Linked DNA regions of Drosophila melanogaster. The protein of the gene in region 2 interacts with the protein of the main gene of each other region in a pairwise test. Each region holds a gene or a part of one and is shown on either strand. Other genes may lie near its edges.

Evidence for each region.
Region 1: the proteins of pcs (region 2) and tth interact in a two-hybrid assay, tested with the Drosophila melanogaster proteins (one large-scale study listed by BioGRID).

What each region holds. Positions count from the first base shown.
Region 1 is NC_004354.4:13,611,924-13,620,157, forward strand, and holds tth (toothrin), read right to left. Parts: upstream 4,664-8,234; 5' UTR 4,058-4,663; coding exon 3,753-4,057; intron 3,497-3,752; coding exon 2,515-3,496; 3' UTR 1,270-2,514; downstream 1-1,269. Other genes in the region: Ndc80, read right to left, coding at 1-42; Tango2 (transport and golgi organization 2), read left to right, coding at 5,511-5,652, 5,891-6,013, 6,179-6,479, 6,674-7,130; CG2691 (uncharacterized protein), read right to left, coding at 7,640-7,742, 7,815-8,234.
Region 2 is NT_033778.4:14,977,482-14,985,715, forward strand, and holds the start of pcs (parcas), read left to right. Parts: upstream 1-3,781; 5' UTR 3,782-4,300; coding exon 4,301-4,342; intron 4,343-6,845; exon of another isoform or gene 6,846-6,927; intron 6,928-8,234. Other genes in the region: ckn (caskin), read left to right, coding at 206-442, 749-1,225, 1,356-2,204.

The DNA of each region.
Region 1 (8,234 bases), on a different chromosome or scaffold from region 2:
GCCACGGAACTCGCTGGTCCGCCGGGGCATCAGGTGCGACATCTTGGCGTTATTGAAACTACGTTGATTAAATTAAATGTTTACTCAGTTTGATTGGGAATCGCGCGTCGTTTAACGCCTGTTATCGGCAAATCGATAGTTTCCAGGGATGCAGTCGCGATTGACACCCTAGTGTTACTAAACCATCTGGCAGCACTGCCAAATAAAAAGTGCGCCATTTACTTAAAAATTCTGATTACTTTAGGATCATGCCACCAAAACGGAACAAAAAAGCAGAGGTACGATTGAAATACTACATTATTTCAATAGCTAAATGCATTTCCAAACGATTCTACAGGCGCCAATCGCTGAGCGGGATGCAGGCGAAGAGCTGGATCCCAATGCGCCGGTGCTCTACGTAGAGCACTGCCGATCCTGACGAGTCTTTCGTCGTCGAGCGGAGGAGCTGCACTCCGCTCTCCGGGAGCGTGGTCTCCAACAGCTTCAGCTCCAGCTGAATGCACTTGGAGCACCACGGCGAGGAGCCTTCGAGTTAAGTTTGAGCGCCGGCGGAATGGGAAAGCAGGAGCAGGTGGCACTTTGGTCGGGTCTAAAGCGGGGTCCACCACGTGCTCGCAAGTTTCCCACTGTGGAGGAGGTATACGATCGGATTGTAGGGATTCTAGGTGACCAGCAGGAGTCCAAGGAACAGATCAACACGCAGAAGTTATCTAAAATTGATTTACCGGGGTCCGAGGCTCTAGCATCGCCAAAGAAGTCGGAGTCCACAGAGGAAGCACAGGAAAACGAGGTAGGGAAGGCCCAATAAGTCCAGAAAAAATTAACTAAATATTGTTTTTATCAAAAACGAAGGCACCAACTTCAACTTCAACTTCGCGTAAATCCAAAAAGGAACAGAAATCCGAGGAAGAGCCAACTCAAGTCGATTCAAAGGAAGCGAAGCAATCCAAAGAGTTGGTCAAAACGAAGAGACAACCGAAAGCCCAAAAGAAGCAGGCAAAGGCATCCGAATCCCAAGAAGAAGTTGCCGAAGATAAGCCCCCTAGCAGCCAGAAACGGAAGCGGACCACCAGATCCTCCACAGACGAGGCTACTGCCGGTGCCAAGCGGAGGAGGTAGTTGTGCCCAAAACAAAGCGTTCAGCAATAGAGCCCTATGATCGATGATTGGCAAATCCTCTCGAGGAACCGATCGTTGAGAACCCCTTTGCCTTTGTTGATCGCTCAATTTTGGATCAAAAACTACATACATGAAAAATACTCGAGCATTGTTATTACAAAATATATTAAAACATCTTAGAAACCTATTTCCATTTTTGTTTTTTTTTTTCATTCTCTTGTGGTTCATTTTTGTCTGATTTTTTGCCTCTCATTCGTTAAAATTTTGTGGACTTTGATTTTTCTTCCAAAATGTACATGTTTTCCTTTTTTGATCTTATTTCAATTTTGTCCCTTCTTAGTTAGTTAAAATTTGTTTTCGTTTTTAGCTCAGCTTAATAATTATGATCCTAGAGAAAAAATTTTGGTTTTACGAAATTGTTTTTACTTTTAGCTTCTTCTAATGCTAGAGATACCCTACCACTTGCCTAAATAGATTACAATCTGAATTGTCTCTTTTTTAACTAAAATTTTGGTTAAATAAAAAAAATTGAATATAATATGTGGGGAGGGGTGGGGAGCTAGGTGAAATAGTATTAAGAACATGCAGCAACAGAAACCGAGAGATTGCGATTAGGTGGAGAGCCAGTCCAAAAGGTGGACTTGCCTTAAGTAGAGTCGCAAATACAATGCATGCAAGTATGTATATATATATATATGTATATAATGTCTGTACACCCATATATATAATGTACAATATAATGCAATGGTCTGGCGAACTGCTCTAAGCAAAACTTCGGAAACCAGATGTGAAATATAGTCGTGTATTGCAAAACTATACATAGTTCAAATTGTGCTGTTTCACTTATGGCATAGATGATGCCCGAAAATAATTGATTACGAATTGCCTAACGATGACGAAAAAGGTTCTTTTTAAATTCATTGTCTAACTTATACAACGTTAATAATTGATGGCCTAAAGGGTTTCCTACATTACAAAATTGCTCGAAGAATATTTGCTACATCCATAAGTTTCCGCTCAAGTTATCCTATAGTAGAAGTTCACCAGTCCATTGCTAGTTTAAAAAACAACAATCAATTGGCTATGGGAACGTAAAGTTAAGAGAGGCGAAACATTGGAATTGTATTGGCTACGGCCTGGTGCGCGGTTCTGATCGTTATCCTGATTCTAATCCTGTTTCTGTCCCTGGTCCACAATGTATTTGTTTCCTTTCTTTCATTTCTTGCTTGGCTTTTATCCTTTTGTCGGAGGGGGGCAACAAACAGTGATCAACTAAGGCTTAAAAACTATATTTAAATTATGTGCGAAAAAGTAGGTCGATTCAATAGGCGAGAAAACATTGCGAAAAACAAGGCTTTGATTGATTACACGTCCAGTTAGTTGCTGATAGAGCGGTTACAGATACTTCCGATAGTTGCGCAGATGGGCGTTCGCGTCCTCGACCACGCCCACCGCAGCAGCGGCACTCTCGAAGGATGGTGGCTCGATGACCATGCCGGGACTTGTCGGATCGCAAGACGCTCCAACGGCGCTATTTGGCCCCTTGGCTCGTCGCCTGCCACGTGTTCCCGCTCCCCGCGATCTGCGGCTGTTGGCCGAAGCTCCCGATGCTCCTCCTCCGCCGCCGGATCCCGAAACTCCCGCTAAGCCTGCTCCCAGGCTGCCGCTTAGGATGCCTCCGCTGGAGATTGGTCCTCCATTGCTGCCTGGCACACTCTCGCCAGATTCAATGGCCTCCAGCGATGCGTCCAGCGCCGCATCCGTCGTTGTGATACGCGACCTGGCCGCTGCACTGCGTCTCCGCGAGCTGGAGCTACCGCCGGAATTGCCGCCACCGCCGGCGCCTCCTCCACCACCACCGCCGCCGGAATCTCCACCTCGCTTGCCTGGTCGCCGCTTGCGCCTTTTTTTGTTACCATAGCGCGGATCATAATCGTACTCATCATCCGCCGGCGATTTGGGCTCCTCCAGCGAGTCCACATCGTTCATATCCATGTCATCGTAGAACCACTCCTTGGGCAAAAGCTCCTCTTTGACGGCCTGCTGCTGGTGCTGGTGCTGCTGATGTTGTTGCTGTTGACTGTCCTTGCTGTCGGATGTATCACCGCCGGCGGCACCCAGCGAGCTGGACTCCTCCAGGCTGAAGGCTCCATTAAAATCGTGGGCAGTGTCACTGTGCAGGGAACCAAGTACGGCCGGCGCGGCTCCGCCGCCCGTAAGCATATTGAGCGTTAGGGAGGAGCTGCTGGCCAGGCTATTGCTGCCGGGCATGGAGCCCACACCGCTGGTCAGGCTGCTCAGTCCCAGATTGACGCCGCTGGCCACCAGAGCTTCGTGCTCCTTGCGTAGCGCCTGGAAGGGACGCTCGGGAAAGCGGCTGTATAAGTGGAAAGTTCGTTATTAGCAGGGATAAATATGGAGCTCACCCAACGAAAAATGTAGGATTTGATGAGATTGAATGGCATATACACAGATGATATTCTTCTAACCTAACTCGTTTTAAATAAGATTACCATAGGTAACAGACTCCTAGATTTCCAAGCTCTAATTTGCTTCGCCAGAGTTATACCTAACTTTTCCTTGTGCATGTGCCAGTCACTCAAATCCCGCACCGATTGGTTACGATTCCTCACCTGTACATCTTGCTCAAGTACTGACGACGGCTCTTCCGCCAGCGGGCCGCCGGATACGTGTAGATCTGGCCCTGCCGGAAGCCGGGCATCCGCTGTCGCTTGTCCAGGAAGAGCTGCGAGTGGTTCTGGGCGACGCCTGTCTGCGGATCGAGGAAGGGCAGCCGGTGGCGCCGTTCGCTGCACAGGCGCGTGTTGAAGTTGGCACTGTACTCGATCGTCTCCCGGTAGCTGACATCCTTCAGGAAGCTCTCGATCTTGGCCAGATTCGGCATAGAGACGATCTGGATGTTAACGGCGGAGGACATGGCTGTTCCTGGTCCTAATCCCACTGTTGGCTAACCTCAGAGTCCGGCTGTGCCGCTAATCCATCCCAGAGTCTTGGCAATTTCCGCTCCGCTCCGCCCCGTTTCTTATCGCAATTTTTTTCCAGTGTGTTGTGTTCCGTTTCTTATCGCTTTTCGCTGCCTGTTTTTTTTATTCTTCTTCGTCTTCCACCTCTCCTCTCGACCGACACATACACGCACGCACACACACACACACGCAAAGCTCTCTATCGATGTGACCCCGCGCCAGGGGGCGTGGGCGGCAGTGGGCGTGGCGAGGGCGATACGTTTAGATCGCGATCTGCGGCCGGATTTTCCAATTGTTTAATTGATCAGAAATATTAACGTCGTTTTCACTGCTCTGCTGAATGCCAGTGTTACCAGATGGCGACATGATTTTCCCCCCAAATGTTCTCGACCGACCGGTATTTTTGTCCTAAAAAATCCACTCTTTCGCTTTAATTTTAGCGATCAGTTTTCTTACCAATTTAAGGGCCTGTATAGGTCTGTTAGTTAATTTATGCATTGCAGTGCATAGCTATGTAATGGTATTTTCTAGTTTTAATTACAAGCCTATGTTACAGGGTTTTTGGTTAGTTTTCAAACATCGATAAGTTGTAAGCCAATCGATTGCCGGGCCCACGGTCATACAATAGAGATGGGCAACTGGCGATAATGCCTACCTACCTGTTACGCCAATTTCAAAATAGTAGTTTGTTATCTGGATCGGCACAGGCGACAAAAAAAACTAATATGTTTATATATACGTTATATATGGCTTTGGAAATAAATTACACAATCATATTGGTCAATCATTGTTTCAGCGCACGATGAGGAACTAAAATCTTCAAATTTAAAAGTACAAATTAAGATAAGTCATAGACTGCACAAATAAATAATTAGCAATTAATAAAATAGCTAAAAGAATATTGCACAGGGCAGCAGAGTGTTAACGATTTTCTTATCGATTCTCCTGTCAGCTGGCAACGCCAAAACAAAACAAAAACAAAATTAAAAGAGAAATCAAAACAAGGCAACCCGGTCATTGAAATTTCAGAAAATACTGCTTTGTTTGCGTTAACGGGAATGCTTTTTGCCCCGTAGATATGTATATATCACATAGAGGCACGGCTCACAGAGAACACCCACCAATCCAAACCATTTACATTTACCACTTAGATTAGCTGGTCTCGCAAACAACGGATAAGACTGTATATCAGCTGTACGTACGTACGGCTATTTGGTGATAAAACCGGCGCTATAGTTCCACTGCCACAAAGTAACAAAGAGAAGACTGAGCCGAACAACCTGCCATTTTGATACCGACGCCCCACCGAGATTAAAGCCCACTTTTCCGGATCCCATTCGCAGTTGTCCCACAACCTCAAGGCACTACAAATCGCAACAATAGCCAAATAAGTATAGGATTCCGACGATGTGCGTGATATTCTTTTGTGCGGACTCGAATCCGCAACCGGGTGGCTACAAGCTCATCCTGGCCTCCAATCGGGACGAGTTCTTTGCCCGCGCCACCCTATCGGCAGCCAAGTGGGCGAATGCCGATCATGTTTACGGAGGTAAGTGGTGGGGCTTATGCCCTTGAATGCCTATGCTTAGATGGAGTATAATCCTTGAGAGCTTGTATTCATCAAGATGTTACCTATAGTTTAGTCACTAAGATGATTTGATAGCAGTTTGTTAGAATGAACACCTCTCACAAGATCTGTTTCCCAGCAACCTAATTGGATTTCAAGCCATCTTACCCATGAGTGCGGGATCAACTTGAGTAAATATTTATGTATTCCCCCATTTCAGGGATCGATCTGGAGCCGGGACGCGAGGGCGGCACCTGGCTGGCGATCGGCCACTCCGCTGGCTTCTTTAAGGTGGGCGCCCTGCTCAATCTGACCGGCGAGCCCAAGCCACGCGATGCAGTTGGTAAACCCATTTGAGCTACTTACTAATCCAAATTGACGCGCACACACACGCACACACACTCATCCATACACCTAACACTTGGCCCGAACTAAAACTTTCACAACCGCGACCAAAGAAAAAGCAAAGCAAAAACAAACTTTCTTCGTTTCTGTTTTCTGTTTGAAGCGCACAAAAACATTTTGCAACCGCATAATCACAACAGCAACAGCACCGGCATTAACCTTTGCCCCAAGACCACCACCTCCAACAGCTACCGTCATCCGAATCCGAATCCAATTCAGAACCCGAATACGAATCCGAGTAGGGGGCAATCGAATAACGAACATTTCTTACTAGGGCGCGGCATGATTGTGGCGGACTATGTTACCCGGGCGGACGAGGAGCACAGCATCCTGAACTACAACGAAAGGCTGCTCAAAGATTGCACCAAGTATTCTGCCTTCAACTTTGTGTCCATCGAAATTGGGTGAGTCTGCGCCCATTCAGGTTAACCTGAATTATTATATATTCTAATTATATGCATATTAGTATGTACATATATTGCTTTATGCTGTCTTTATCTCCGAATTATACGTATAAATTCTGAATAATATGCAATAACATTAGGGAACCATTAGCGAAACATTGATACCATCTACTGCACGCCTTCGTTCTCAACAGATCTGCATCCCAGCCCGCTCGCGTGAAGCTGCTGAGCAATGTGCCGCCCACGCTGGAGGATTTCCAGAACGGCGAGTGCTACGGATTTGGCAACAGTCTGCCGCACTCTCCGTTCGAGAAGGTGCGTCATGGCAAACAGGAGTTCGAGGCGATCGTTAAGGCTCATGGGGAAGCCAGCGTGGAGACTCTGTCCGCCCAGCTGATGCAGTTGCTCCGCAACAAGCACAAATTCTGGCCGGACGACGAGCTAAAGACACGTGCGCCCAACTGGGGCGAGGGATTGAGTTCCCTAAACGTCCATATCGAAGAGCATGCCTATGGCAGCCGTACACACTCCGTTGTCCTGGTGGACAGCGAGAATAAGATGCACTTCATTGAGGAGACAATGACTGGATTGGATCCGCACGGCGAATGGAACAAGACCCACATTGAAAAGGATTTTCAAAACGGCGTTTGACCACGGACAGGATGACGCAACTTCTTGACGCAACTATCTCGTTCGAAGACTTTCCTCTTTTGTAGAATAACCTAATTGGCTAATATTCTACCAATCTGTATTTTGACTCTGGCATTTGCGATAATAAATAGTCATATTTACTATATCTTTAAAGAACATAAAGCTTGTGTGGATTTAATCTAACGTTACTGCTCTTCTTTCTGCCACGCATCGAACTATGTTGCTTTCAAAATTCTTTATTCAAAGTCTTTGCAGATCAAAACAAAAAAAAAAAAAAATACATAACTATTCTGTTTCTGTTTTTCTTTATCTGTGGCATTTACAACGTCTCCACATGTTCATATATATATATTAAGTTATATTTATATATTTAAGCAAAGTAACAGGGGAAATAATCATCAACGTCTTAGCTTCCTTATCAACAGACCGCACTATCCCAGTGTTATTATACATCTCTATATCTCTATAGCTTTACGAGCCTGTTAGCCAGTTGGCTTGAATCGTCTGCCCTATTTGTATTTCTTGGACACCCGGCCACCGCCGGCTCCTCCATTTTCAGCGCCAGCTCCTCGCAATACGCTCTTGAATTTTCGCGAATTCATTGAACGTTTTCTGGGGGCGAAAGAGATGGAGTATTAGATAGGGACGGGTATATTAATAATATTAAACATTTTGGATACACACCTCTTGTTCAGGTTATTCCTAGTGAGTGGTATATACGCATATGGATCCAGTTTTCCGCTCTTCTTCATATCACCCTTGGCCTTCTTGCTGCCGTACTCACTGCCCGCTGGGCGGCTGGTGGATTTGCCTGACTTCACGGACATGGCATCCGAGTTTCCAGCTGTCAGCTGTCGATGAATGCCCTTGCCACCGGCAGTGTAGCGACTACTGGCAGTGGTTTTGCCCGATTTCATGCTCATCGCATCATCACCCTTGCGTACACGCTTGGGTACTAGCTTCTGCTGCAGTTTATCTTCGTCGCTCGAATCGTCTTCCATGCCACGCTTAACCTTGGGCTGCTTGGCTACAGTGCCATACGCCATGGATGCATCGGAATCCGAGTCGTCATCGGACTGATCGTTACCGCCCTGGCCACGAAGT
Region 2 (8,234 bases):
TGGGTGAAAATACAAGGGATTTAGGAAGAAACAACAAGGGTTTTTTAAATTTTACATTACTGCAAACTTCAATCTAAAGCATTTGTTGTATTTTTTCTTTAGTCTTAATTTAATTTGATTTTAATTTACCACTAACTTTCGTTTCGTTTCTATTTTGTTCATTTGTTTTGTATGATTTCCCCTCGTCGGAATGTTGACCAAACAGGAGTACCAGCGGAAGCCCTGGCAATTCAATGTGCCCATACCCAGTACGCCATCCTATGTGCCAACCACCCGCGTCTCGTGGGACGACACGAAAATCTACGCGACCAGCAGTGTCTTGAATTCCACTGCCCCATCCGGGAGCAGCTGCCTCAATAGCAGCCTTGCCAACGGAGATGCCTACTACTGCACGGGCAGTAACCATGAGTGCTGCTCGGGCAACGATGTGGTGCTCATTAAGGTGGGCACTTGGTTTTCCACAGTTAAAAAGCGTAGCAGCCCGTTGGCCTTGAACTTTTTAAGTGCCCTCTGACATTTTAGCCACGAACTAGCTTTTGCATCGCGAACATCGTTACTTAACAAATATCAAATTAAGTTTAATACCCTTCATTAATATTGCTTTGCAAAAAATATTTTTATTTTCATATTATTATTTCTGTTGTTGAGAATTTTTTTCTCGTTGATTTCCAATTAACTTAGAAGAAAACTGGCCTCATTAATTTCAAAAAGTTGCACCTCCTAACGAGCCTCTTATCCTTTTCTGCAGGTTCGCCAGCCGCGCGGCAAGAGCCTGGAATCTTTGGAGGACATCCACGACAACAGCACGCGCAGCCATCTGACCTTCAGCCATTACACAACCACGGACTACGGCCACTTTGGGCCGCCGACAACAGCGGCGGCTGCAGCGGCAATGGCCGCAGCGGCCACACTGCAGCAGCAGCATCATCACCAGCAGCTGCTCCACCAGCAACAGCAGCAGGCAGCTGCCGCCCGTCTCCTGGGCAACAATGCGCCTGGCATTGGATGGCGGCGATCCTACGACGACGGCGACATCACACCCACCAACGATGCCACGAGGGAGCTGCTCTACGAGCAGGAGGGCGGCGGAACTCTGCCACGCCAGCAGCGTGGCATCCTGCAGCGGGCGGTGTTGAACACCATGCCGCCACTGGAGCACCATCACTACATGAATGCAGCGGCTGCGGCGGAGTACGGTGCGGCCAGCGGTGTGGAGGGTGGAGCGGTAAGTTGGGGTTCCACGAATCCTTAGAACACTTATCTGTGGTTGCCATAGTTGGTTATAATAGAAGGGACACCAAAGTGGCAACTGTGGATTTTAAACTGTTCTTACTAAGAGCTATCTTCTATTACAGAATTACATGGGCGGCAGTCCTTTGACGGGCAAGAAAATAGCTCCTGAGCCACCTAGACGCCACTGCAGCATACGCAACTCCCGCACGCTGAGCGGAGAGGGAGTGCCGTCGGGAGCGGCTGCGCAGGCGCATCAGCAGGCAGCCCAACAGCAGCAGGGCCAGCACATGTTCTACGGCCACACGGCGCAGCACTGGCAGCAGCAGCAGCAGCAGGCGGGTGCAGGTACTGGTCAGCAGCCGATCTACGCCAACTATGCCACCATACAACAGACAACGGCGGAGATACACTGTGAGAAGTATCACGACAGTAAGTCGACTTCCAGCATCGATTCGATTGACACGATACCATTTGCCAACGAGAACACTGGGACGATAAAACAGCGGCTGCTCAACCGCCAGGAGCTGCAGGGCGGCGGAGCGGGCAACAACAATGTACCCGGCGGCGGCCATCCCGCACACCTGCACTCCTCCAGCTCGAGCTCCAGCTCCTCCTCCACGAACACCATCGCGAATATAGCGCACTCGTTCCATTCGTTGAAATCTTCCAGTTCGCTGCACGATGCCACATTGGCGCGGAGTGAAAGCATGGGCAGCACAGCCAGCGGTGGAAGTGCCTTGCACCTGCGTTCACCCACATTGGATATGTCAAATGCCGGTGGATCAACGGCGGAGCCTGCAAGTTCGCCAGAAGCAGCCGTACCAACTGTGGCCATAAACAACGGCGTTCCGCCCAAAGTTTCGGTGAACGTTCTGAACGACATTGGCAATATGCTGGCCAATCTCACGGACGAGCTGGACGCCATGCTGGAGGAGGAGAAGCGAGTGGGCCTAAACATAGACAGTGAATAAATCTCCAATCAAACAACAAATCGTAGTGTAGCTGAATTTAGAAGTTGTGGTGTATCTTGTAATGTTTTATGTACTTCAACTTAGTTAAGTTCAATTTGTTTTTGTATTTCTTATTCCAATTGCGTGTGGAGAAGCATTTATATTGGATCGTATTCTGTATCATTTCGATATGCACACTGTGTAGTAAAAAGCAACTACAACTGAAAAGCTTTGGACAAACCATGTATACTTTTGTACTTTTCCTAAACTCTCCTCCCATTCCCGAAACTATGAGTGTTAACAATACAAAATGAAAATAACCAAGTAAAAGAATGGTAAATGAAGCGCAACATGCATATATGCAGAACTTGCATAGTTATTATATAGCATAAAATATATATAATTCGATATATAAATAAATATTTAAACGAAATCATTTATATGGACAAGTATTTAGTGGTTTGATACTATACGACAGAGGAGGAATCAACAAATAAACCACACGGCACACTCTTAAACAAACACAATGAAAGTCAGGCAAGAACTACTATTTAAAGATCCCATTCAGACAATTTCAAATTGTATTATTCTAGAATTTTGTACCTTAGTTCTTTGTTCATTTTTTTCAAATCACGCTGCACAGAAATGTTTCTTTTTGTTATGATTACAACTAAAATCAAACTATATGAAATGAATGTATAATTAAGTGTTATTCCATACAAAGTAAAAAGATGCATTATATAAAATATAAATCTTATATTAGCGTTAAATTAAGAAATCAAAAATAAAAGAAGGAAACGAATCCATCTTTATAAATTATGTTTAATCGGGCATTGATGCTGAATAACGTATGAAATTCCGTGGTATACAACTGAATTGCCTTCTTCTTTATAATTTACATAAATAAAAATCTTTTAGTGAAAATTTTGTTTTTTGAGAGTATTTTCGGTTTTCTGTTAATTGCGCTCAGTTAAAAATATGTTTGGTGCGCATATCATTAGAGGAAATTGGAGTATTCGATTTATAAACGCATATAAGGAAAAGTAAACAAATTAAATACGAAAAAATCACAAACATGTAAAGCACATAAAGGGCAAAACAAAAATGATGAAAACAAATAACAAATAAAGTAAACTTTCATAGTAAAATGTTTCTGGTTTTAATGCATATTTTGTTACTTAGTCAGACCTATTTATTTATATTTCATTAATACGTATTTAGCAACTTTAACAAAAATCCTTTTTGAAACAAAATTTTTTTAATTATTCATAACGTTACGAAGTGAATCAACTACGTAACGTGATGTGATGGTTATGTAGATGAGGCATATGACGTAATGGTAAGAGAAAATACCAAGCCCGCCAAGAGTAATTTTGAAGACTAATATGTTAACTTAGCATTTTTTTAAATATAAATTGTTACATTATCAAACTGGTGCAATGAAAATCAAACATTTTTTTAATTGTTTATTTTTCTTGAAAATAGTTGGCAACAATGCCAGCGTTGTAATGAAATATACCAATACAATAAAAATACCAAATGTTTATTTCAGCAACTGCTGGTCAGCATTTCACTATCTGGTAACACCGCGCTGCGGTCACACCGAATTCAGCTTCTCATTTCGTCGCGTCTGGACGCGTCTTTAATTTTTAGGATAGTTTAGCCTTTATAAGCGAGTTAATTAAATATCTTAGATGCCCCGAGCGAAGGAGAAGGTGAAAAGCCGCGTGCCCTGTCCACTTGTACCGTTCGTCTTGTTCACACTTAATGTAATCGCCATGTGTCCCTTTCCCTTTTCGCTTTTAACTTCGTTGTGAAACATAAGACGCAAAATGAAATATTTGTTTTAATACTGCTGCTGTACCCGCATAGCAAATTGCCAGTTAAAATTGCCAACACCAATTTACATAATATTATAGAAAAAAACACAGAAAAAAAAAAGAAAAACAAAACACACAAGCAAATTGATAGTCGTGGGATGTGTCTGTGTAGCAACGAGATCAAATAGTGAAATGCAAAAGCGTTTTTCAATTGAAAAGCGGGCTGCAGAAAAGTGAAAATTAACGCGTTTAGCGATATATTTGCATTTGGAACGAATTCAGTGAAAACCAGTAAAAATGTCGAGTGCAGAAGACGGCGAGCTGGATCCCCAAATTCAGGTGATTTTCCTTCGGCAATTTGCCTGCTGTCCTTCCTATTTTCTCCCCCTCTCTCTCTCATTGTATGCCTCTCTCTTTCGTACCTGGCACTGAATGGAACGGTATTTTAATGACAATAACAATATTCAGGCTGCTTTGTTTTTGGTTTGCTTGCTAGTTCTCTCTATCACCTGCTCTTCTTTGCAGTGCAGTTTTTGTTGGTACAGTGCATACCCGATTCGGTGAATTGTGAAGACCGAGGGTATCCACTGTACCAAAGTGATAAATGTGCACCTAGATTTTCATACAAAAATATGTTTACAACTTACAAGCAAAAAACATAGAGCACTGTATTTTGGAAATAGGAAACAGGCGTTTTTGCATTGCATTTCGTTACTCATTTATTGCGTGAACCTTTTTTACGCTTTGTTGGTTTTCAAAAACGATACAACAGCAAAAACCAACACAGAAAATCAATTTACGAGCCATTTAAGCAAATTGCAAGTTTCCTTTTCCGACGAACTATTCAATATGCATTGTAAAACCGAAAACAATACAAAGTGCAGGAAAAAAGGGATCACAAAGGGTGTCAAATAATCCCACGCACTTCCAAGTAAACTGGTTTTTTTTTTCTTTTTACCCGCAACGGATTTGAACTCGGTACCTAAATGAGATTCAAGTGCAACTTGGTTATTGCTCTTTATCTTTCGCCCCTTCTTCTTTGCTCATCTCTTCGCATTTTTGGGAGAGAGGAGGAGGTATGCATACAAATTTAATAAATGGAAATACCAAAGCGCACACGCAAGCCAAAGCAGCAACAACAAAAAACAAACACGCCTTTGTTTCTATTTCGAGTATTTTATATATTATTGTGTAAGCCAGACAATTGAAAAGTGTCTTGAAGCGCAAGTCGCAGTTTTTGCATAAATCAAGATTCATATGCTGCTCATTCAACTGCGCAAAATAGTCGCACACTCGCCTAATAGCCTTAAATGGGCAGGAAATAATACGAGTCTGTAAAAATAAAAACTCAAATCGGATGAGTATAGTGAAAAACACAATGTTTCCAAACCGTGATCAATAGGAGAATATATTTATGTATATGAGTATATAAGTATAAAATGGTTATTCAAGTTAAAAACACCTTTATCCAGGGCGATCAATCGAATGGTACGTCCATTGTGAGAATACCCCCTACATAGACAAAGGAAAATCCCGGTGTAGACCTACAATAATTCCTATTTTTAAATGCAAAACTTAGTGGGAGAGACGCCACACGCGGCGCAAAGTCATTAACAACAATTTGATTTCGAACCCAGAAGACAGACGGCATGTGACTAGATTGGATTCGTCGATAATGTCCGAAAGTACATATGTATAGGTATGGGAAAATGTGTAGGAGATATTCACTTTGTCTATAAACAATCTTTAGTGCGGCTCTATAAACCAAATACAAAACTGTACCGAAACCGGTTAAGAATTCTACGAAAAACCGCATGCTACATTATACAAAAAAACGCGAAATATTTTGCTCCGCCTATTTTTGCCTTCTTTCTCAATGTTTTTATGCTCGACTTCCTCTTTCGACAAGTCGACTTTGTTGTTTTTTTGCCTTCGATTTGCCAATGATTTATCAATGAGCATTTGGCGTTCTTCTTTTTTTTTTATTTTGCGCGTGCAAAATTTCTTATCTAAAGAGATGTTTTCAAGTTGATGACGCCAAACAATAGACAAAGAATAGGCACCGCGTCGATGTCGCAAAGTCTATTTAACCAAAAACGTGTGTCCTAACAGATGTTTTTTGTAAACAATTCCACACGCGTCAGTTAACTTAAAAATATGGTCATTTGCGTGCTACGGATTTGTTTTTCGAGCCCCAAACTTTCTAATCTCATACCAATCCACATCAAAGCGTCACTTATCGATTAGATGATAATTGCTTTATTAAAAAAACAAAGGGGCCTTTTTTTACGATAGAAATTAGTGAGAAAAGCTTTGTAGCAATTTAAAAATAAATTAGTAGCCTTGCCCCATTTGATAATTAGATTAGCAAGGGAAACTTTATGTGCAGGTGAATTTGATAAAAAATTATAAATGACTAATGAAGTCGGCTATCTCTGGTCTCAGTTACGTAAGCAAGGTGAGAGTACGGGTATCGCGAATTAGAGAACTCGATCCAGGCGTCTATGAATCAGAAAATCGTGTCCGAAAAGTGAGTCAACGTCTACTCTATATATGTAAAAATATACCGTAAAGGTGTCTCCCAAAAGTGTATATGATATTCTTTATGCTTATCTTTTATTGCGAATACGAACTTGTGCTTATATCGCAAGATTATTTATGTGCATACAATACAAAGTTCATAACCAGTCCCGATAAAAACTGCATTTAATACTACATAGCACTCTTCATATTTGATGAATAAGTTTGCTCTCATTTATTTATTATTGAGTTTACTTTTTATTTTGTTTGCGCTTCCAAAACAATTACAACTTTCTCTGATCAAAAAAAAAAAAATCTCAAGTGGCAGCGGTGGGATTCGAACCCACGCCTCCGAGGAGACTGGTGCCTTAAACCAGCGCCTTAGACCGCTCGGCCACGCTACCCATAATCATCGCTGGTCATAAGCGCTTCTGATCGCAAGTGCTATATTTATATTTACCATTTTTATAGCAAAAATAACAAAAACAATTGTAGGAAACAATAATAAATACTTAAAAAGCAGCTGGGATTGCACTTTCATAAACAAACTGTCTCTTTCAGAAGGTTTATTTTCTCAATTAACTGGAGGTTTTGTAACCTTTTGGTCGAGTGCAATCCCCCGGGTTTCCTTAACCATCAGTATCATCACCAATTATCATCATCATCATTATCATTATAGTCGATGGCGCACAACACAGTTGCTACTTTCGAAGAGCGGTTACCGCACTCAATTTTCCATGCATTTTCAGCCTTAATGAATTCAGTTTGGATCGGCTTTGTTTTGGTCGTCGGAATTGTTAATGACATTCAATGATTGCGCTTGTTTATGTAGTTGAACTTAGGCAGTCATTTCCTGCTTTATCAAATCAGCAGAGATACGATTTTCAGAGGCAATCTTATCAGTCATGAACTTGTACTTGCATTAACAACTATTAGATTTCTATAGACTCAAAATGAGTTTGGTTGACCTTTGATCTGAATTGCTTGGTCATAAAGAGAAAGTCGAGAATTTGAGTTAGCATAGCAATTGAAAATAATTTGTTCAAAGTGGGTCAGGCACACGAGAGTTCCACACAAAAAAAAAAAAAACATCATATTCAACACAGAAGTTTATCGTTTTATACGAAGTTGACATAACTCTAATTAAAAAAGCAAAAACTTTATGCGGTCAATTGCAATTGTCAAGCTACGTTGACTTAATTTTCGGGTCGTCAGACATTCACTCACGCATCGCCGTTGAGTTTTCTTTTATATAACCATCTTTTTGACCTACCAGCCAAGACTTTCTCAGCAGTTCCACTTTGGTTAGTTTTCCCCTTGGCTTGCGGTTTTTTACATACAATTGTCGCATTATTTTCGGCCGATGACGTCTATTTCCGCTTGAGTTGAATGTCCTACGAGTTCCTGAGGCTTCCTTCTTTTTTTTTTTTTGTTGTTGCGCAAGTCAAGTCGATGTGGGTTTGCATTACAGCTCCTCCATTGCGATTATGCCCAAGTCTGGCCAGGAAAGTGGGGTGGTTCTGGCAGGAGCTGGGGACAAAGCTGTCACCAGCAGATGTAGGTCAGGTCGACCTATTCGGCATCACGCCACCGGCACAAAGGGCAGCTGGCGTCATTGCGGAACTGGCGGAACTGCGAGCGGAACAGGAGGGAGTGTCGTGGCCAAATGGGTGTCCAAAGTAGGGAGTATATTGTGGAAAGTGGCTGGGAC